3 linked regions of the Lonchura striata genome follow. The protein of the gene in region 1 interacts with the protein of each later gene in a pairwise test. Links are inferred from orthologs where the notes say so. Each region holds a gene or a part of one and is shown in the gene's direction. Other genes may lie near its edges.

Region 1 (7,598 bases):
GAAGACTGCAGATTTGCAGAATTGTCTACAACTGGAAACTTTCCTCACACCTTTTTTTTTTTCCCCAGCTTCTAGGTTGTCATTAAAGCACAGGAGAGCTCACACAGGAGGACACCATAGAAACTGACACAAAATATGCAAGATCAAATGTTTTATGAATTTCTGAAAAGTTATTTGACTCAACAGAGAAAGGTTACCTTATCCTTCACAATGTGGTTGAGTTCTTTTTGCAGCTCCAACACCATTTCCTCAGAGGCTGACAGCTTCTCAGCCATCTCTGTGACCTTGTTTTGTAGCTGTGTGTTCTCCTGCAGATAAAATTGAGATTTCCCTGAGGCAGTGGGTCCTGATACGGCAGGGTGGGCTTTTCAGCCACAGGTCCTCAGCACGGACAGGATGACAGTAAAACAACTGGCACACCAACAGGCCAAACACAGCACAGCTCCCAGGAGACCCTGGACATGGCCTGGTTTTGGCCAGGACAGGGTTGGTTTTTGCAGTGACCAGGAGGGGATGTGGCTAAGGCCCAGATGTTATTCTGTACCACCTCATTCATTGCTGGGGACAGAGGGAAGGCACTCTCTCTCAGTTCCAGGGAGAAGGAGATGCCTTCCAGAGAAAATGTGGCTAGTCTGCAATGAGCATTTTGTTTGTAAATCACTCTCTCTTTTGTAAACTTTTGTTGCTAATATTTTTGCTGTCACTGGTTGTTTCTTATCTCACTGCTGTTTCCAGTAAATTGTGCTTATCTTGACCCATGGTATTTTCCTTTTGTGCCTCCCATTCTCCTCTCCAGCCACTGAAAAGTGGGGAGAGGGAGTGAGCAAGCAGCAGTGTGGTTTGGGGAGTCTTGGTAAGAGAACAAAATTGGGGAGCGCCACTCCTAAACCACGACAGGAAGCACATTGCTGATACCACATGGGCTCATCTCTCCAAAGGACAGGAGTGGGTTTTGCACAGTAAGAGCTAGACAGCCCCACAGATCATCTCTACCTCTGCTCCCCAAAATTGTGCTTTCCCTCACAGCTAACAAAGGCAGCAAGTCCTGAGCTATCTCCATCTGTACTTCTACATTGACCAGAACTGTGGCAATCCCAGGCATGCACACACCATCATCTCTGCCGTTGACATGGTCCCTGGCACAATTTTAGCTTTGGTCACTGTGTTTTAGGTGTTACCAAGGGCCAAATCACTGCCAACAGACAACACAGCAGTTTAGTAATGGCATGGAAAGGTAACAAGCTCTGTATTTAATGCAACTGTATGGATGTGGCTGATGATTCTTCTGCATAAAATTTCTGTTATTCCCAACAAGAGCAAAGTGAACCATCTATATTTGTCACCACCCCTGCTTTTCCACCTCTGAAAGAGAGAAGGTGTTTAATCCAAGGCAGCTGTACTTACATTCATCACATGGTTGAGTCTCCCTTGCAGGTTGGCCTCTTTGCCCTGGAGGAGCCGTGTAGCAGCCTCCAGCTTTGCCTGGTGACTCACTGCTTGCTGCAAAAGCAGCTCTTTTGCCTCCATTTCTGCCTGAAAATTCCTGGGGCAAAAAAGCAACACGGTTGGGACAGACAGAGCATGTTCCTGGATGGCCACAAGCAGGAGATGAGAGCTTTGTTGGAAGGATGCCGAGATCACAGGGGTGGAGAGGGGTCTTCAAGGACTTTCCTGCCACTGACACATTGGCAAAACGAGTGGGAGATTCAAAAGGGATGTGTAGGCACATTTTCTCCACCCCACCAAAAGAAGCCCTCCTACCTGAGCTTGCTCTGGGTGTGCTCCAGAGCGATGCACTGCTCATCCAGCTCCCTGCCCAGCTGCTGGCAGTGTCTCTCTGCCTTCTCCAAACCAAGCCTCGCCTTGTCCCTCTCCCTGGCGATCTGCCTCACCTGGCTCCTGCAGACACATCGAGCAGGGCATGAAGAGACCCCTCAGGCAGCCCACAGAAGGGCCCTCAGGGAAGCAGAGCCCCTACCAGAGGCACTGCAGTTTGTATCTGTAGGAGGTGCCAGCTGCATGCTGGAGGCCACTGCTGGGGACCATGAGTGTGGTGTCCAAAGCTGCAGGCAGCCCTGCAGGCTCTCCTGCTCCTCCGTGCTGCTGCTCCGCCTCTGCAATGACAGACTGAGATCACTTCCTCCCTCTTCTAACAGTTCCAGCAGCATTTCTGTTGTCACACCATCTGACCACCCTCCAGTCTTCCAGGGATGCCCCCCCATCTCACAGATAAGCCTAGATCACATCCACCCCCACATTCCCTCAGCTCTGGGGTGACCAAACCCATCCTGAACCTGGCTGCAAGCGCTTCTCCCACCCTGGGCAGTTGCTCACGTCACCCACCACCACTGATCCAGGCAGAACCAGGGACCCTGAGGATCTCCTCTAAGTCCTTCCAGGGCTCAGGTGGCAATGACAAGTTGAGGCTCGGCAAATCCAGCGTCTTTGCTGAGGCTGGAGAAGTGATGTGGGCCCAGGTAGCTTGGCCAGAAGGACAGGCTGCTTCCTCTGATGCTGAGGAAAAAAACAGCAGGAATAAGTCAGTGGGGCCAAACTGATGGTTTTCAATACCAAAGGGAAGCTTCAGAGATCAAATCAATACTGAAGAACATTTTAGAAACAACCCCAGGCTGCCAGGAGGGAGATGTCCTGAGCTACCCTCCTGGCAGCTACAAGAGCCAGTTTGCAGGCCCAGGCCATTCAGTTTGGCCTCCTTGCTGACCCATCAACACCCAGAATCCACAGAAAGGCCAGCACTGAAAGCTGTATCACTTACAGGGTCTTGTGAAAACTGTCAGGTGGGGACTGACAACCAACATTTTATTTGAACAAAGAGCAGAACCCAGAAAGCTGATACAGAACTCACAACATTTCCAAAAGCACCAATTTTGTACCAAGTTTGGAAGAAGCCAGTCTTCAGAGAGCTGTTACCTCAAAGTCTTAAGCCAAAAGAATGACTTTTTTTTTTTTTTTTGGTCAGGATCCTGGATTGAGCTGTCCTGGCTGTCAGGGTAAGCAGAGATTCACTTCCAACTTAGTACGTTCATGTGGTGTTACTTCAAAAGCAAATGCCCTGCCAGTCCTTGGATCTGAATACACTAAGGAGAAAGAAGTATTTTACATCAAACAAACAAACAAAAGTGGATGAAGCTTGTCCATGCACTAAAAAGAGGACAATCTGTGTTACATGTGAGGTGCAGAGACATCAGCATTCCTGAAGTCAATATTAGAACTGGGGTGATGTTTTTTCCTCTCCTAGGATGTGCACCCCTCTCCATCCCATAAAAAGAACAGGCTCAACAGCCCCCTGTTGTCTTGTTTTACAATCCCACACCACTTAGGCAGGAATTGCTCCTTCTCAGGCAGTTCCCAAGGGAGCCTTTCAGTCACCACGCAGTGGCTCCAGTACAGACCACATCTAAAAACTGTCTTGCAGAACTCTCCCCAGGTCAGCACCCTCAGGTGCCTGACTGAATCCTGTGGAATCACCCATCTGTGAAAAGAAGTATCTTGGCCTGAATTATTCTCAGTAAAACCTGATCCTCCTTTTTTGTTTTTTTTTGGGGTTGGTTGGTTGGTGGGGGACCACGGGAAAATGGATGGAGAAACCCTTCTAAGTGTGTGATGTCTGGATTCCCTACAGGATTGCATTAAAGCATTAAACACGAACGAACTGTCCTGTGCAGGGGCCTGGCAAGGAATTAATTGCTCCTTACCCAAGGTTAGTGGAAATCACCTCACGGAGCTGCGGATCAAGGCCATCAACCAGAATCCTTTTTACAAACCTCATGCCACGGAGCCGCTGAGTCTTGGCTGCTTGGGAGGCACTGACATACCGTGGGAACGGGGCTATGCATCCCCGGGGACGCGGCACTGCAGCATCGGCTCGGCTCCGCTCGGCCCGGCCCGGCCCGGCTCGGCTCCGCTCAGCTCGGCTCCGCTCAGCTCGGCCCGGCCCGGCCCGGCCCAGTCGGGCTCCTGCGGGCTCCCCTCGGCCCCGCCGCCCCGCGCATGCGCCCGGGGGAAGCGGGAGGAGCGGCGCAGGAGGCCGCGGGAGCTGCCGGCGCCTCCTTGCCCAGCTCCTCCTGCCGTGCTGCGGCCAGTTCTGGGCTCCTCAGGGCGAGAAAGGCAGGGAGCTCCCGGCGAGGGTCCAGCGGAGTGTGACAGAGGTGATGATGGTAGCACTGACCTCCCCTCATGAGGGAAGGTGGAGGGGGCAGGGCCTGTTTAGTGTGGAGAGAAGACGGAGAGGGAACTCCCTCAGTACATGCAAATATCTCAAAGGCAGGCGCCATGAGGATGGTGCCAGGCTCTTTCCAGTGGCCATAAACTGAAACACGAGGTCCCACCTCAGGCGGGCGGAACAACTTTGCCGTGGGGGCAGCTAAAGGTCCCTCGCTCTCCGCAGTCGCTCCGGCCCGCCCGTGCCGCGCTCCCGCGCGCGCGCCCCGCCGCCCCCGCGCAGGCGCACGCGCGCGCCGCGCCCCGCGCCGCGGCCGCCCGCCCCGTGGCCGCGCAGGCGCAGAGGCGCGGCCGCGCAGGCGCAGAGGCGCAGGCGCAGAGGCGCGGCGGGCGCGCGGCGGGCGTTGTGCGGCCATGGCGGGGTCCGCGGGGTCCGCGGGCGGCTCGGCGCGGAAGCGCCTCATGAAGGAGGAGGACATGACCAAGGTGGAGTTCGAGACCAGCGAGGAGGTGGACGTGACGCCCACCTTCGACACCATGGGCCTGCGGGAGGACCTGCTGCGCGGCATCTACGCCTACGGTGGGCGGCGGAGTCGAACGAGGAAGGGCCGGGGGGCCGAGCTGAGGGCAGGGAGGGTGAGCTGAGGGCCGGGAGAGTGAGCTGAGGGCAGGGGGGCCCAGCTGAGGGCAGGGGGGCCCAGCTGAGGGCAGGGGGGCCCAGCTGAGGGCCGGGCGCGTTCGCGGGCCGGGGCAGGCCCGGATGCGGGGCCCGCCGTGACCGTGTCCCTTGGCCCCCGCAGGGTTCGAGAAGCCGTCGGCCATCCAGCAGCGAGCCATCAAGCAGATCATCAAGGGCAGGGACGTGATCGCCCAGTGAGTGCGGCCGGGCTGCGGCGGGGGATGCCGTGCACATTCCTCGAGGCTAGAGCGGGATCCGCTCCCGTGCGCCTGGGCCGGTGCCTGGCGGGATGTGGGGAGTGACCTGAAATGGCTGGGACACGGAGACAGGCTGGCCAGAGCAACTGTGGATGTCACGTCCTTGGAAAGGCCCAGGGCCAGGGGGCTTTACTTTCTGTAAAGTGCTGGATGGGACCCTGGGCAGCCTGGTCTAGTGGGAAGTGTCCCCTCCCATGGCAGGGTGGCGTATGGAGCTAGATGTTGTTTAATTCCCTTCCAATTCAAACTGTTCTGTGGTGTTATAATGTGACAAGCAAAACAAAGTTTATTAGGTTTAGTTACTGTAAAAAATATCTCTTAGAGACAAAGAAGGATATGCATCCCACTGAAAAAAATTCTTTCTTGCTCACTAGTGCAAATTACTAGCCTTGCAAATTGCATTGGCTTTACAAGTCATTTGCCTGTAAAAAAGTGTGTGTGGCAGATGGCAGAAAGTTAAAGTGCTGGTCTGATAAGGAGTGAAGGTGCCAGAGCTGGGGACCTTGGAGTGTTCTGTCCCTGGCATTGCAGTTCTCAAAGCTGCAGATCACGCTCTGATCATAACAACATAAACCCTTCGTTGGCACTGTTGAATTCTTTGCAGTGGAGGGGTGGGATGTGTTGAGATTGCCTGTGCTGTTTGTGCACACATGCAGAGTACTCACCAAACACGTTTTCTCAGGTCACAGTCGGGAACAGGGAAGACAGCAACATTCTCCATATCTGTTCTGCAGTGCCTGGATATACAGGTAAGCTCATAGCAGCACATGCTAAAAGTAATTCTTACTAGATCGCTGGTCTTCATCATGAAAGTGTGTTCTTTAAGAGTGAATTAATGAAGCTTTACTTCAAAGTCTTTTAATTACAGGCAGTAAACCTCAGACAGAATTCTGACTGAGAACTTCACCAAACTATAACAATTTAACTGTTAAAGCCAGTCTGGCAAAATAAGTTCAGATGACGTCTTGTAATGATAAAGTTGTCTTTAACAACTGACCTCTTTCACCTCTTAGGGCTAAGTTAATCCCTCAGCAAGCAGAATTGTCTTCAGACAGTCCTAATAGCATCACCAGCCTGTCTGGACAAGTGCCACACGTTGCACAGAATCAAATCTAGGTTTTTGACTGACAGCTGTTTGCTCTTGTTCTGCTCAGGGGCATAATGTCCGTCCAGTCGTTTTGGGGTATAAGTTGGATATGCAGATGCAATTGAATAAAAGGGTGATTTTCAGTGGCTGGGATTGTCACTCATCTGTCACTGTCGGGTGACATAAAAATTAAGGTTGCATGTTCTAAGTGGAAAAGACAGCTTTTGCTTTACTTCTGTAAAGTGCTCATAATACTTTTACAGGTGACACTTCAAAACTTTGTCTAGGAATCCTTGAGCAGTGCAAAGTGTTTATCTGAACCAAACACACAGGGCTGAAGGACTTGAGATTTGTTTCTATTTTGCAAGACATGTACACACCTTTTTTTTTTTTTTTTAGCACAAAATTCTGTGCTAAATCCTTCAGCTGTGACACCTCACAGCTTCGATTCTGTGAGATCCATCACCTCTTCCATGCCTGGCTCTCTGGCTGGCCTGTGATTAACTTGCTTGTGATTCTGTGCTTTAACCAGGTTCGTGAGACCCAAGCCTTGATCCTGGCACCAACTCGGGAGCTGGCTGTGCAGATCCAGAAGGTAGGAGCATTTCCATCCTTGTCTGGAGAGCACTGGCAAGGCCCGGGGCCAGTGCTCTGGTGTTTCTCTAGCAGAGCTCAAAGCACAGCTTCCACTTTTTCTTTCTGTTCCCGAGAGAAATAGCAAAGTATCATCTGATACAGGGTCCTTTGCTCCTCAGTGTTACATTCATTACTCTGGCAGTCTGAGGTTTTGCACAGCCCTGAGTTTTTAAGGTCAGCGCTTCTAAAGCAGTTGTGATCCCTGAGGAACTGAGTTCCCAGTGTTTTAAGGCCGCTGCTGTGGCGATTTGGGTACCAGACGTTACAGGAATCCTTGTGCTGCCATCTCTTTAGAAAGCCCACGTTGTGGCTGCACAGGCCAGCATCTCCTCACAAGTGTGGCCTGGGGAGAGCCGGGCAGTGAGGCCGTGTCTTTGTGCCCTGACAGGGCCTTCTCGCCCTGGGAGACTACATGAACGTGCAGTGCCACGCCTGCATCGGGGGCACCAACGTGGGCGAGGATATCCGCAAGCTGGACTACGGGCAGCACGTGGTGGCTGGCACTCCAGGCCGGGTGTTCGGTAAGGGAATCCTGACCTTACTGTAACACGGAGGTGAGGTGTGACAGGGTAACAACTTACTGCTGTTGTGAAAACTAGAGGGAAATTAGTGCTGGTGGGGTTTTTATTTTCTCTCTTTAGGCTTTGCTTTCCATTGTTGAGGTGACTCTTTATGTGGTGGCTTTGGAAAAAGGAGAAAGTATTACAGTCCCTGAATCTTCAAGGGGATAGGAGCCATGCCTACATGAATGCCAAAA
Region 2 (7,759 bases), on another chromosome or scaffold:
ACAATGTCCATTTGCAGTAAAACTTCCTAAAATGCATACTAAAAAAAAATCATGGCTATCAATAACAGTTTTCTAAGATAATTCTGGTTGCAGTAACTATGTCACTCCTACAGATTCTGTTGTAAGATGACATTAAGCCTAATTCTGATTTAAGCTGTTGGATGCCCTTAGGAAATCTCTACATTCAAGCTGTATTTGAGAGGAATTACAATTTCTATAAAACTAGCACATAACAGTATTCCCTCTCTCATAACACATATGAAGACAGAAGAGATGGCAACACTGTAGATACAAGACATGATTTCAAGTGCATTATAAAACTGAAAATAAAGTGCAGGTTCCCATAGAAAAGGACAAGGCTCGTTTCGATCACCATTCAATTTAGCATTAAGTCATCATTAGATTTTTTTTCCTTTTTTTTTTTTTTTTGACTAATTTTTAGTTTGCAAGCAAAACTGAGATAGCACAAAAGCAATCTGGCATTGCAGCTTGTGACCCAACAGGCAAAAAACCCCACACATGGCAATTGAACACTTACTATATACCTCTTCTTGTTTTGACTTTCTGCCTAAGATCATGCAAAAGATCTCAAACAGTTATCAGACTTTTAGGATTTTTTTTCTCCTAGTCTTCACACTTACCAATTACCTACCCAAATGAAGCTAACTTTCAGCCTTCCTGAAAAAAATTCACAGTATCCCTCCAGAGTTTCCACAAATGGCTTTTGGTTTCTTTTTTTGCTTGTTTGTTTTGCTGGAGCAAGTGCACACTTCTTAAAATACAATACAAAAATATAAAGACTTTTCTTCTAGACTTTTCTTCAGGTCCCCTTAGGAAAATGTACAGAAGTAAGTAAAAAGAGATATGCTAGGACTTGATTTTGGGAATCTTTTCTAGAAGGAAAGAAACTTTTGGACCACTGCTGCTGCAAAGATTAGTTTGCAAACAGTTTTGCTTGATTCACAGTCATTTTTGGCCTCACACACACTAAGACACACAAATTCCACAAATACTCCAGCAAACTATGGAAAGCAAAATTTTAAAAAACTTGCACTGTTTTAAAAAATATTTTTGTTGATATAACACAAATTCTTTCATACAAAAACTCTGAGATGAAGAAACTGAGAAAAATGTATAAATAAAAAAGACAGAAGGAATTTCTGCATCCCTCAGAAGAACATGGATGAGTTGTCTTATGTTGAGTGGCTCTGAAAGCGTATGAGGACAGAGTGCCCTAGCACTAGGGCTTATCTCACAAAATGTCCAGCTGTTATTTACTCACAGTTTTATTTCATCTTAAAGCCAAGATGTAGAAAAATAAGAGAATATCAAAGCCTTAGGGTAGGATGAAACCTTAGTGTCTGAGATAAGATAATCAGTCTCTGAAGAACAAAACCTTCAAACATCAATATCATTTGGTCTGGTGCTCCTACAAGTTTTGGTAAGGGGGTGTAGGAGAAATCCACACCAAAGCTTTGCAATTGATTCAAGTTTGTGCAGCACCTCTCACCAAATTCATGAGACAGTGAAACACCACTGTTTTATTAAAAAACAACCCTAAGAACAAACCACTGTGATCTCTCATCTTCCTCAAAAATAATAAACACACTTTTTGTGGTGATGCAGCTTTGTGGAAACAAACACAATTAGACCTCATTCTAAAATGAGCAACATACTAATTGGAAGTGGGGAATCAATTATTCCCCAGGAATTCAGGGCTATCAGCAGTCTGAGATCAAACATGGTAGTTTATACAGCTTTCACAAGTTCCTGATGAAAATAAGCCACACTGAGCCTCTACTGTACATTGAAACAGATTCCTCCCCTTCCCCACCTCATTTTTTTAAGTTAAGCTGGTTTTACTTCACATTTTGAAGTGTTCTTATTCCTCCCTCACTGGAATTTTATTAATTCCTGTGAGCTGGATCAAAAACATGCACAGAATAGCCCTTCACAGGTTAGAGTTGACATGAAGCCTTTCTGAGGAAACCATATGTGTGAAGCTTGTCAGTTCTTAGCCTGAAAATCCAAGACCACTGAAGTGACACACGGTGCTCCCAAAGCCATCTGTCTGTGTGTGCCTTCAGCGCTGAATCCCCCGGCAGCAGAGCAACCCCACGGCTCCGGCAGGAGCAGGGCTCCCTGTGGCAAGCACATTTCTCTCACTCTCAGGATTTTTCATAGAGGTGCACAGAGAGAAATGAAAGAGAAAACAATTTCTATTTCTGCTCCTTGTTTTTCCTATGTGGAATGTGTTTGGAGAATTGTTTACCTGGAGTGAGTGCTTGATTGGATTTTGGTGAGGATGGTTTGAGCCTGATGGCCAATCCAATCCACCTGTGTCTGGACTCTCGAGAGAGAGAGGGTCACGAGTTGTGTTAAAGTAATATTAGTATTTTCCTTTTATATAGTATATTAATGTATTTTAGCATAGTTATAATAAATAAATAATTCAGTCTTCTGAATTGAGTCAGACATCATAATTTCTTCCCATTGGGTTCACCTGCATTTACAAGAGCTCTCCTCTGTCCTGCTCCATGTTTTTCCCTGCCTGCTGATGCTCCATGAGAGAGGACCTGAGCTGAGCTTATCTCACCACACACTCGGTTCTGTACAGCATCAGCAACCCTGCCTCATTCCCAACCCAGGCATGCCTAGCCAGACCTCTGCTACCCACAGAAAAATCCACTGCTTCTTGCAAGAACACAAGTGCCAGCTCTCCAATCTTCACAGCAGCACGAGCCAGCTTGGAATTTCTAGGATTAATTCCTTTTTCCACATCCTGTCATGCAACTCAGTAGCACAGATTTTCCTTACAAACTTGGTGATTAATCTCATCCTCAACCAGAAAGGAGTATTTTAAGAACCAACCCTGGCCTGAGTTTGGGTTGTTTTTCCTTCTCAGTGTTGTCGCTAGGTGAGGTTTGAACAGGCAACAATAAATTATTTGTTGAAGTGTGATTTAATTAGAACAGCACAGATGTTTTCATACATTTGTCCTATTTTCCAGTAATGTGTGTTTCTCCTTTTCCAGTGCAAATTAAAATACTTTATGGTTTTAATATGACCTGCACTTCTCTGTCCCTGCTGTCTCTCACCAATTCCCCTTTTAAACAGCCAAAAGCAGGACAGTTTCACTGTCAGAAATTGCTTCACAGGGCAGAAATCGTTCTTTCTCTATTGCACACTTTGCACTCCCTGGAATACAGGTGCAGCTTTCTTAGCAACTGATTACCTCCTTCAGCTTTGCAATTCTGTCTCCATAAACTATTAAACATGGGCCTGACCCAGCCTGCCAAACACAAAAGCAATACATTTCCAAACTCAGAGAACTGTTTCTGGTGCTTCTATCAGCTGTCACACTGCCAAGCAACATCAGAGCACCTTGTATTTTTCTAGTTTATTAAAGACAAGTGAGAGGCAGCCTTTTCTTGCACAGATAACTATGATCTTCAGTATTTCAACTAAAACCTATCAGAGAGTCCTTTTTCTCCATGGGGATGAAAAATGATATAAAGAGTTACCCAGTATTATTAAAACTCCGAAACACACTCCCAAGACTACCTGTGCTCCTGTCTGAGGTTACAGAGCTGGATCAATCACATGTAAGTGGGTTTGTACTTGGCTGTTTCATTCAGGTCTCATCTCTGTGGCACTCACCAAGTAAGGCAGGAAAGAGAGTTTTAGATTGGGTTGGTTGGGTTGGGTTTTTTCCTGGTTGTGTTTGGGTTTTTTTTTTTTAATGTGGTTTGCTTTTTGGGTTTTTTTTTCTCTTGACGATACCAAACCCCTCAAGTTATGAGGCTCTCAAGGTTTTGATAGGGGGTTGAGTCAAACTTCGCTCTTTTTTTTTAGGTGTTAATCAGTAGCTATAGCTGGATGGTTGTGATTAAGCAATTGCATTGTGAGCATCATATGTTTGGCTAATCTGCTGTTTTAAGAAAAAGAGAAGACAATCCCCAAATGAATGGGCTGCCTGGATGAGAAGCACCAAGAGTGAACTGAGCAGTACCTGGGGAAAGGTGATTTTGGCAGTAGGAGATCGTGAGAGCTCACTGACCACCTACTGAAGACGGGCCCCAGAATCAAACAGAGGGAAGAATTGTGCCTGCAGACTAATCAGCAGGAGAAGCAAGAAATAGAACTAGCAAATAGGGGTGCTGAGTAATCTACAACCAAGGAATGTTGATGCCTTTTATTAAGTTGTATAGAGTGTGAAGTTTGGATGATCGGTGAATTAACCTTCCATGGGTCACCACCCAGCTCCCCACTCTGCACAGACAAGAATAAAAAGTATAAAAAATACCCGACCTCAGTGCGTGACTTGACACTGGCACCATGTAATGAGTCCACATTGATGCCAAATTTGAACTACGTTTGAGCCCACCCCAGCTGTGGGCCAGCCTGCAATCCTGCCACATTCTGGCCACAGCGGCTACCCCCAGCCCAGGGCACCCACAGAGCCCAGGGCACCCACAGAGCCCAGGGCACCCACAGAGCCCAGGGCAGCCCCAGCTCTGTCACAGCGGCTGCACGAGGACATTTCCAGTGTGACGCCTGAAGGATTGGTCCCAGCCGCCAGAAACGCTCGTTTTCACGCTCGGTTTGAGCACAGGGATGCCCCAGCGCCAGGGCGGCCCGCACCGAGCCCCGGCCGGCCCTGACCTCCCCAAGATGGCGGCAGCGCCGCCCGGCCTCTCAGCAGCGCTGTCGCGATAGCGCCGCGCTCCCGCCGCGCTTTACGGCGCGGCCGCCCGGCGAGGAAGGCGCAGCGGGGCCGGCCCCGCCATGGACCGCAGGAAAAAGCCGCTGGACGTGGCCGCGTCCTCGGTGAGTGGCTGAGCGAGGAGAGGCAAAATGAACCTCTCCGCCTGCCCAGGAGGTTTTGTAGGGCTGTGAGGTGTGCTCAGCCGCGAGGCTCCCGCGGGCGGGGTGGCCTGGCCGGCGCAGGCCGTGAGGCTGGACGCGGGGACCCGCTGGTGCCGGCGCTTGCAGGGGAGCGGCTCCCCTGGGACGGGCTGGTGCTGTCCCCTCGCCCTCACCCCACTGCCATGGGTAGCCACGGCAGCAAGTGCTGCATTAAAGGGCTGTGGGAGGCCGCATATCGGGTGTGTGGAGATGTCGGGGCTGGGGTTTTGTCCCCTCGCCTTCCTGACCCGACGCACGCCCTGCGCTCCTAACCCGAGTCTGCCGGGCCTGGGTTTGCGCATTCCTCATGCAATGATTAAATCGGGGGGGAAAGGGATTTAAAAAATCAGCCTTAAAAATCAGCCTTAAAAATCAGCCGTAAAAGGGAAAAGAGTTTTCCTAAGGAGCAGGATGTCTATGCTGTGGCAGATTAACTTCCCACCCTTAGGGATGGTGAGGTGCTGCCTCTCGCTGCTCTCCAGGGCGCTCACGAGAGCTGCCAAACACTTCAGATGAAGAGCTATGTAAATAGTTAATGTATGCTAACAGTTAACTGTGAAATATTTTACATTGACTTTCTGGATGATCACCTCTAAGCAGAAGGGAGAACGAGTGATTTTTAAGACACTGCACTTCGTTGTCCCAGGGAGCTGAAAAGCAAATGCTTTTGAGAGAAATATTAATACCAAAGTTACCCACTTTCCTGGTTTAATGTGCAACTCTGAATTTTGTCATCTGTAGGACTTGCAGGAAAAGTAGCATAATATCCTCTTCCAAACTAGTTTTGTAATCCTAAGGTAACACCCCTGCCGATGATGTTTCTTAATAAAAGCTGAGATAGACCTTGCTAATGGATGGTAATGCTACTCATATATTTCTTTAAAAAGAAGGAGAAAGAAAATCCAAAACTATTAAACAGTACATAAAGCAATGGGGAAAATACATATTTTATTATAGCAAACTTTTATAAATTATTTCCTGAGACAGGAGTTTATTAATTATCTAATGGTTAAAAGTTCCTTTGTCATATTCAGTAGTGTTTTTCATTACTCCTTCTCTATTTGTTTGCCATTAGGAGGCTGGTAAAATCTAGACAGAGCTATGTCTCTCTTATCCTCAAAATATCGAGGATATCTTTTGGGATTGTTTTAATCCCTAATCATAATTTGCATTCTGTGGTTTTTTTATATTGTTTGCTGTAGCTGATCTTGGTGATCAGATCAGTGCTTCAAAGTTCCATATAAAAATGCAGCCAAATGCTCCTATAACTGTAGCTAACAGATTATTTTCCTAGAGATACAGTTGTTTATTGCAGTAGCTGATGTCTGTGCCTGTGATCTGTTATTTATGTGGTGTTTTGCTGCTGGTGTAGCTGGTAGATCTCAAAGCTGAACTCTTCCGAAAGCAAGAGGAATTCAAGAAAGAAAAGCTGTTGAAAGATGCTGGTGCCTTTGCAAAGCCCAGAACTTCTAATAAGGTAAAAATAATCTTCCATTGTTGTTTTTGTCATTCTTTCTCCTGAAAGTAAGGAAGTCAATATTCAAATCTAAATAACAGCAAATACTCAGAGCTGTGTTTCTATTCAAATATAAAATGTACACGATGAGAACATTCTTTAAAGTTCATTTCTAGGTGAGATTCCTGTGCACAGCAGAAAGCTTAGTCTTGTGCTTCTACCCATCTAAATCCCCATTTAATCTTCATTCCCCAAGGCTGATTATAGGAAAAGTTGTTTCTTTTTTTATTAGAGGATTTTGTATAATGCTGCAGGATGGAGGATGAGAGATTCTTCTACAGTCACCGAATTTCATTCATAAATGCTCTGCTGTCTGTTTGTGGTGTACAATAATGAATACACAATTATCTCTCTTGTTTTGCTCTGTACTGCACTTTGGGTTTTGTTCATTCTGTAGCTTTCTAGAAGTTGAATGTGCTGTTCCTACCATATTTGAAGCACATGCAGCATTTACAGTGTTATGCTGCAAACAGGTCACCTGATTGTATTTCTTCTCTAAAATGGTGACAATAGAGAATAGAAACAATTTTTAGCTTTGTTAGCATTTAATCAGCAAGATTGCATGATTGAGTTTTTTTAACCTTAACATCTCTGCCAGAATAGATTTTGTCTGATTTCTGAGTGCCTTTGGGTTTTTTAAGGCCTTCTCAGCTTGCCCTTAACTATAATACTATCCTGCAGCCAGTGTTAATTCAGGATATATCTGCTGTATCCTGCAGCACAGGAATATCTCAAGTCAAACATGTATAAGATGTTATTTACAAAGTCTTCCATGATTCATGTGCGTTTGTTTACATTATAGAGTTTAAATACTTTTTTAATTGTTACCATTTCAATATTTTAATCTATTTATTTGTTGTTACAAAATTGTCCTCTTCAGAAACCAAGTATCTGGACCAAGCAGAACACAGGAGTTGCAAATCGAGCTGCGAAAGATGTTGAGCAGAAGGCAGAAGAGCAGGATATATTGGATAAATCAAGGTAGCTCTTAGGCTCTGTAAGGAAGAAATGCTTTGCAGAATTTGCTTTTTGGTATTTAGAAAAGCACAGAAAGAAGTTTTTGGACCAGCAGTTCTCATTAGACCAACCAGTAATTCCAGCATCATCCATACCTTATACCAGTAGCATATAAACTGCATCCCAGCAGTCTCATGCTCTCATGACTTCACATTATCACAGTTCTAAATGTCAGCTTACTGATTTTTTTTAAAGTCATCTTTAGAATTACCAGCCAGTGCAGTGACATGTTAGAATTCTATAGCAAAGTGTTTCTTAGGCTTGACAGAAAATGGCTCACATTTTCAAGAATTACCTCATTTTCTAAATGGGTTGGTT
Region 3 (7,177 bases), on another chromosome or scaffold:
CCCACCCTTCCCAAGCTCTGCTCCATTCCCCAGGAGTGCTGTGCACAGGGCTGAGGGGCTGCCCTGGGAGCTCTTGTGCCTGGGGCTGCAGTCCAGCTTGCTTTGGCATGGTGTGGGGTGGGTGAGTGCAGCCAGCGACCTGGAGGGCCTGGAGGGCAAGGTGTGATGCCCCTGGGCTGAGCATGGCCACTGCAGCCCCATCTCCTGCCCGACCCCCCAGCCCACTGGCCATACACACATGGGAAGACCACAAGGACCTTCTTCAACAGGGAACAATTCAACCTCCACGCCCTGGGGGACACTACTGAGGAGCAGAGGTGCCTTTCCTTGTATCAGCACTGCAGCCAGGCTGCTGTTCTCCCATTAGCTCTGGCTCCAGTGCAGGTGCAGCAGCACTGGCTCCCTCCAGACCAGGTGGGCCAGCCTGCCAAGGAGCCTGGACACACTTCAGACACCTGCCAGGACATCAGGAGGTGTTGTGCTCTTTGGCCAGCACAGCGGGCTGGGCTGTGGAAGGCACTGGGTGCCAAACCTTTATGCCCTGCAGAAGCAGAACTGACAATACCTAGTCCTTGTATGCTGACACTTTTCTGTCTTCAGGCCAGTGCTAAGACTTAGGGACAGTGTCCTTTTTTCTGGGAGGAAAGTCAGAAGGAGGGAGAGGAGAGGTGGAGAAAAAAGCAGACCTAAAATTGGGTGAAGAAAAGCATGCAGACATTTAGACCTCAGTGGTCAGGAAAACACCTTGGCTGAGTCTCTTGCCCCAGTGAGGTAAAACACCTTGTTACTGTTTACTACAAAAGGTGACTGGCACAGTTATATTTATAAGGTTAAAAAAAAAAATCTAAAAGACCAGCTACTTCTGTTCCACCACTGAACTACTTATTTTTACCCTAGAACTATAATGAAAATCCACTCTGGTCAAATTTTTTCTGGGACACTTGAGATGCTGCAGGTTTTTTAGTCATAAACAGTACCCTGTTCAAAATATTATGTCCCATTTATGAAGGCAGGCGTGACTGATACAGCTTCCGAGTTCCAAGGGGCATATTTAAATAAGTAACAGGAACTAATCCATATAGTCAGCTTTCCTTAGGAGCCTGGGGATTTGCATGTCTAAATTTCACTGCGATGAGACTCCAGGATAGGGGATAAAACTCTAGTTAACTTCACTGGAGATAAAACCCAGGCAAGGGCAAAAGCTTGGAGACAGATGTTGCAGTTGAATGAATTTATACCTCAGAAATGCTACTTAGAATGAACAGTCATTGCAAGGAATAATTTTAAAAAGCAAAAGAATCGATTTGGTATAAAAGCTATGTCTCCAAAGGGAGTCAGAGTTCTGTCTTTTAAAGGACATTAATAAAAAATGGGGAAAAGTTTTTCCTCATTGCATATGGCTGAAGAAAACAGGAGGAAGAAGAAATTATAGGGCATAGAGGTTAATATGCATTGGGTATGTGCAAAAGCCAAACTCATTCTTTGCTTTAACTTTTGCTGAGGATGTTAATCATGTGGCTGCAGATGTGAGGGATAATAGGATGGGGGTATGGAAATGTTTGTGGCCGGGATAAAAGCAAATCTCAGGGCTGCTTCCTGCGCTGAAGGCAGAGGAACGGGCTAATCCACATGCCAGAGCTCTGGAAGAACTGGCCCGATGTCTTTAACAGGTCCCTCAGCCAGGGACAGCAGCACAGCAAACCTGTACAGAAGTGAACTGATTTGGGCAAGAAGAGGCATGAAGGTTTCAGCTTAATAGCATAAGGACAGATTCAGAAAAAAAATGGTGAAGGAAAGGCTAACAAAAGAGAGGGAGGTAAATGGCATGAGATGAAATGGTTTTATCAAACCCATTTATCTTTCTTGGGAAAGGCAAGCTGCAAGCCATTTGCTTAGTGAAGGAAATGGGATGGATCTCACCTCTCTGGACTTACATTGCACATTTCATATGGTGCCACATGGAAAGTTCTTAAGAAGAGGGAGAGGTGATTTTGCACAAGGTATAACCCCCCCTTAAAGCTGTAAAGAGATGTGGCATAAGAACAGCAGGGCTGTCAGGCTGGAGAGTAGTTACCAGGAGAGTGTTAAGCATCACTGTAGATCTGGCAAAGTGCTTTTGTAAATGGGCTTGGCACTAGTGTTACTGGAGAACTGGTGAATTTGCTGATGACAGAAAATATGAAGTAACCTCAGGAAAAAGGAGGCTTGAAATATTACACAGAGAAAGGTAGATAGCAGAAAGTGCTGGTCATAGGTACAAATGACCAAAGCCTTTCCTACAAGCTCCCTGGCAGCTCACACTCTGATCACCAAGTAACTGACTTGCCAACAGTGGAAATAGGAAGTGAGAAATGCAGTCCTGGAAGGCAGCAGGAGAGGTGCAGCCCAGGCTGCACTGAAGGCTGGGGTGAGCTTGAGCAGAGGCTATCTCACTTCATTTTGCAAAGCAAATACTGTGAGCATGAGGTTTTCTCTGCATAAATACTCCCGGGAAGGGAAGAGAGGAGAGCTGATGGTGCTAAGGGCCAGTGCTGGTAACAGAATAAATGATCAAAAGGAGCCATCAGACATTTTGATTAGGAGACCATTACTAACCATTTGACAATGTGGTTCTAGAATGTCTTCCCCACTGCAGTTGTCCATGCAAAATATTGAACTGCTTTGAGGATGGAACTTGGCAAGGTCATGATAAGGATATAAATCACATGGCGCCTTTGATAGGAGACCTGATAGCACAGAAGTTCCTGCCAGTCCTAAGCACAAAGGTAAATGTTCTGTAAGCCCCTGTCCATGTAAATATAGAGCATGTGATTATATACACACAAAAAGCAGGCACATGATTTATTAATCACAGGACCGCAGCTTGTCAAATAATAATTACAAGGCAATAACACACCTTGTTCTAATAAATGGCTTCCTAAGATTTTCTCCCACAGTAAACCAGTAAAAAGGGACAATTATTCTGAGGTAGAGGTGGCATTTTGTGTTTCTGGTTGTTAGCTTTTAAATGAACTCACCGTCTGGAACTCAAATCAAGTTCTTCCATTTTTCTGCACATTTCACAAGTTCAGCCCTTTCCAGTAAAGCGTCTTTTCAGATGCGTGATTGCCCTTTGTTAAGGCAAGAATGAACAGATGACAGCGGCAGCACGGAGGAGACATGCCTGGAACAGTTTACCGGGGCGATCCCACTGCTGCCGCTGCCAGGAGGGTGTACTCAGAGCCCCGAACAGGGCAGGCTGCTTGTGCAATGTGAGGGGCAAGTCCTGGGAAGCCACGAGAGAGACAGGCAGGCAGTGTTTCGGGGAAGTGTTTATGCAAAGCCACGGCAGCGGGTGACCCTTCGGTCTCCGCGCCTGGGCAAACGCAGCGCGGTCCCTCCCCAGCTCCGCAGGGCGCCCAGCCCCGACGGGCGCTGCGCAGCCAGGTCTGCAGCACAGCCCCGCTCCCAGCGCCCGCATCGAGCTGCGCGAGGATGTTCGAAAGCAGCTCGCATTACTGAGCATTTAAAAAAGTGAAGGCGTGTTTTTGTACCCTTTCAACCTGGAGCTGACGCTGCCTGATGAAAAAGAATGGGTTTGCTGTGTTTGCAGTTCACTTCGTGAAGGCACCTTAGCAGAAGATGCAAAAATAAAAGTAGTCTGAAGGGAAAGAAAGCAGAAGGCCAAGAGACAGGCAACTGAACAGAGCAGATTGATTTAACAGATATGATACATTTTTGCTGTCTGCATTATGTGTGGAAATTCGTATTCCAAGTGACACAGTAACAGACTCGACTGTAACCAAACAGCTCTGCTGAGGTGTCAGGAGCACAGATGCTGCCTATCGAAAATATTTAAAACAGAAAGTAAAACTTTGAAAAATCCGCGGTGGGGAGTGCAAGGGAAATAAACGTTCGGTAGTGTTTCTAACCCAAGGCAACTTCTCTCGGCTTTCGCTGCTCTCTCTGGTGCGGGAGGTCGGAAGCAGCTCAGCCAGCGCTCGGTGAGCAGCAAAGGCCAGCCCGGCCCGGGCAGCGGAGCCACGCGGTGCCCAGCGTGCGGGGGAAGGGCTGCTCCCCGCGCTTTGGGGAGCTCCAGCCAATGGATCCCTCCCCTGGGTGTTACGGGAGGGCTTGGCCTGCCTCTGAGAAAGGGAGGGCAGAGTTTGAAAACAACTCGAAGGAAGGAAGGCTGCTCGAAAGTGACCTGCTCGCCTCCGTGCAAGCATTTCGCTCCAGGTGATCGGCGGCTGTAGGGGTGGAAGCGCAGAGGGGCCGGGCGGCACAGGTAACCCGGGGTGCAGGTGTCGGGCGGCGGCTCCGGCTGGACACCCCGCGCTGGCTGCCTCGAGCTGCAAATCCACCACAAACGCTCCAAAGATTTTGACTGTGGTGTTTTTTTTTTTTTTAAATGTCAGGAGGAATTTTGCTGTTTTGTTTTCATGAGGATTTTTGATCGTGTGTTTGCTATTAATATGTCTAGGGGAGGGAGCGAGTAGGTCTCTACAGCTCAGAGGTTAGCATGTGATCAGCTGTTTTCTTGTTGTTGCAGGCAGGTTTGAGGTTAAAAAGGGAAAAAGAGGTGATGTCTTTTAGTAGGCTGGTTGATACAATGGAAAAATACAAGTTATCTTTCATGCACATAAGCTCTTTTTCAGGTCATAGTGCTTCAGAAATCAGATGAGATTTTCAGTGATTGATAACCCACGTGCTAATAGAGATATACAGCAGAAGAAAGAAAAAAACACGCAATTTTGTTGTCTGGAGGTGTGCTGGATGGTTTGGGGGTTTTCCTCTTCTTTTGACCTCTGATCCAGCTTTTAGGCTTCTTGGAAGTGAATCAGCCCTAAACTTTAGTAGAAAATCCTTTAGCAATTTTCCATGGCGCTTTAAAAGGTGTAATTGGCATGATGCCATATTTTGTGCCATCTTCTCTTGTGCAGGTTCTGGCTACTGTTTCAGTCTCTCTGTCACCTCTTTCTTTACTGAAAAATCTCTTTAAAGCCCCACTCTGCCTTGCAGGGAAAGCTAAATTCCATGGTGAATGTTAATAGGTAGAATTTCTTTTCCAAATCCTGGTGATGACACTGTGGTAGTTTGCTTGGTACGCACGAGTCAGCAGAGGTGCAGAGAGCAAACTAGGAACTATTTTTTGATTGATGGGGAAACAACATCTTTTAAAGCTGCCTCTAGGTTGCATGTGAAAAAAATCTTGTGTGAGCATGTTGGACTGTTCCGACATGAAAAAGTCTGCAATTTAATGCCTTCATGAGCAAGAAAGGTTTTCTTTCTGTCATTTAGCTGGTGGGGGAAGTATCATGAAAACATGGCAATCGTGCTGCACATTCTTTTAACAGATAGTTGTTGTTTTAGATCTTAAATCTATTTTGGATGATTCATGCAGAGCCAGGCCAGTAAATTAATTCAGAGGCTCTTACACAAGGGAACTTTGGCTTTTATTTCAGTCAGAAGAGTACCAATCAGGAGTGGAATTATACAGGAAAAATATTTAATAACACTACAAAAGTCAAGTCATAATCTGGTTAACTGGGGAGGTTTCTCTCACTGGCAGCTGGAAAATCCTGCAGTGCACAAATACCAAAGCAGAAGTGATCTGTATTTGCTTCCCTCATTGCTTGGGCTCTCTGGAGTGACAAATTAGGGAGAAAACAAAGGGTGAGCTGAGTTTTGAGGAGAGACCTGAACGGAGGCAAAGCACAATTAGAGGAGACTGTCATCTCTAATTAGGTGTGTGCCCTCAGGCAGTTGGTATAAAAGTAAACTAAAACAAGGTGGGAAGTTTGGAAGGACATGCACAGCCTGGCTGTCAATCCCAAACCTGATCCTCAAACGTGTGTGAAGCTTTCCCAAGGGGGGGAAGGCGGCAGCTCTGCCCGCCGGGGGCCGAGCAGCAGGAATGCCGCCGGCCAGCTGCGGTGCTGCCCGGCACCCTGCCCCGCACCCTGCCCCTCACCGAGCCCCGCACCCAGCCCCGCACCCTGCCCCGCACCCTGCCCCGCACCCAGCCCCTCATCCGCCCCGCACCCTGCCCCGCACCGAGCCCCGCACCCAGCCCCGCACCCTGCCCCGCACCCTGCCCCTCACCCTGCCCCGCACCGAGCCCCGCACCCTGCCCCGCACCCTGCCCCTCACCCTGCCCCGCACCGAGCCCCGCACCGAGCCCCGCACCCTGCCCCGCACCCTGCCCCGCACCGAGCCCCGCACCCAGCCCCGCACCCTGCCCCGCACCGAGCCCCGCACCCAGCCCCGCACCCTGCCCCTCATCCGCCCCGCACCCTGCCCCGCACCCTGCCCCGCACCGAGCCCCGCACCCAGCCCCTCACCCTGCCCCGCACCCTGCCCCTCACCCTGCCCCGCACCGAGCCCCGCACCCAGCCCCGCACCCTGCCCCTCATCCGCCCCGCACCCTGCCCCGCACCCAGCCCCGCACCGAGCCCCGCACCCTGCCCCTCATCCTGCCCCGCACCCAGCCCCGCACCCAGCCCCGCACCGAGCCCTGCACCCAGCCCCTCATCCTGCCCCGCACCCAGCCCCTCATCCTGCCCCGCACCCAGCCCCTCATCCTGCCCCGCACCCAGCCCCTTATCCTGCCCCTCATCCTGCCCCGCACCCAGCCCCGCGCTGAGGGAAGGGCTTGGGCGGGCAGGCAGCCAAAGGCCCGAGCTCCCCTTGTCAGCAGAGAGAAACACACGCCGATAAGAGTTAACAGATTCTTTTTTCTGATGGCTTTGATGCTTCGGAAAAGGAAGAAAAATTGGCTTTTAATTAAATTAGTAGGCCAGCACGTGGAGGAGGAACCAGGCACAGCTGCCCCGGTGCCAGCACCCAGCACCCCCAGGCGGGATGTGGGGAGCCGTTCTCCCGCATCCCGGGGCCGCCGCTTCGCCCGGCCCTGCCCCTGGAAGGGCTCGGGCGGCGCTGTCCCGGTGCAGGTGGCACTGTCCCGGTCCCGGTGGCGCTGTCCCGGTCCCGGTGGCACTGTCCCGGTCCCGGTCCCGGTGTGGCCGCCCCGCGCCGTGTCCCACAGGGACATGGAGGAACGGCTCAGGCGCCCTCACCCCCGCCCCCCGCACCAATGGCTCCTTCCCGCTCGCACCCCCCGGACCCACTCGCGATGGTCTCGCCCTCCCCGCTCTCCCCGGCCTTCCCTCCGAGCCCAACGCGCGCCGAGCTCCGC

Evidence for each region.
Region 2: the proteins of EIF4A3 (region 1) and CCDC174 interact in binary tests that used the Homo sapiens proteins (3 or more experiments, as listed by UniProt). The two-hybrid records come from large-scale screens. The link is inferred for Lonchura striata from reciprocal best matches to the Homo sapiens genes EIF4A3 and CCDC174.
Region 3: the proteins of EIF4A3 (region 1) and PDCD4 interact in binary tests that used the Homo sapiens proteins (3 or more experiments, as listed by UniProt). The two-hybrid records come from large-scale screens. The link is inferred for Lonchura striata from reciprocal best matches to the Homo sapiens genes EIF4A3 and PDCD4.

What each region holds. Positions count from the first base shown.
Region 1 is NW_027461098.1:318,096-325,693, reverse strand, and holds the start of EIF4A3 (eukaryotic initiation factor 4A-III), read left to right. Parts: upstream 1-4,537; 5' UTR 4,538-4,596; coding exon 4,597-4,762; intron 4,763-4,982; coding exon 4,983-5,055; intron 5,056-5,800; coding exon 5,801-5,867; intron 5,868-6,737; coding exon 6,738-6,800; intron 6,801-7,229; coding exon 7,230-7,362; intron 7,363-7,598. Other genes in the region: uncharacterized protein LOC110474848, read right to left, coding at 198-308, 1,405-1,543, 1,762-1,899, 1,979-2,046. UniProt on the Homo sapiens protein: ATP-dependent RNA helicase. Involved in pre-mRNA splicing as component of the spliceosome. Core component of the splicing-dependent multiprotein exon junction complex (EJC) deposited at splice junctions on mRNAs.
Region 2 is NC_134614.1:15,133,001-15,140,759, forward strand, and holds the start of CCDC174 (coiled-coil domain-containing protein 174), read left to right. Parts: upstream 1-4,742; 5' UTR 4,743-4,788; coding exon 4,789-4,830; intron 4,831-6,280; coding exon 6,281-6,385; intron 6,386-7,304; coding exon 7,305-7,405; intron 7,406-7,759. UniProt on the Homo sapiens protein: Probably involved in neuronal development.
Region 3 is NC_134609.1:23,127,968-23,135,144, forward strand, and holds the start of PDCD4 (programmed cell death protein 4), read left to right. Parts: upstream 1-4,136; 5' UTR 4,137-4,218; exon of another isoform or gene 4,219-4,267; intron 4,268-7,177. UniProt on the Homo sapiens protein: Inhibits translation initiation and cap-dependent translation. May excert its function by hindering the interaction between EIF4A1 and EIF4G. Inhibits the helicase activity of EIF4A. Modulates the activation of JUN kinase.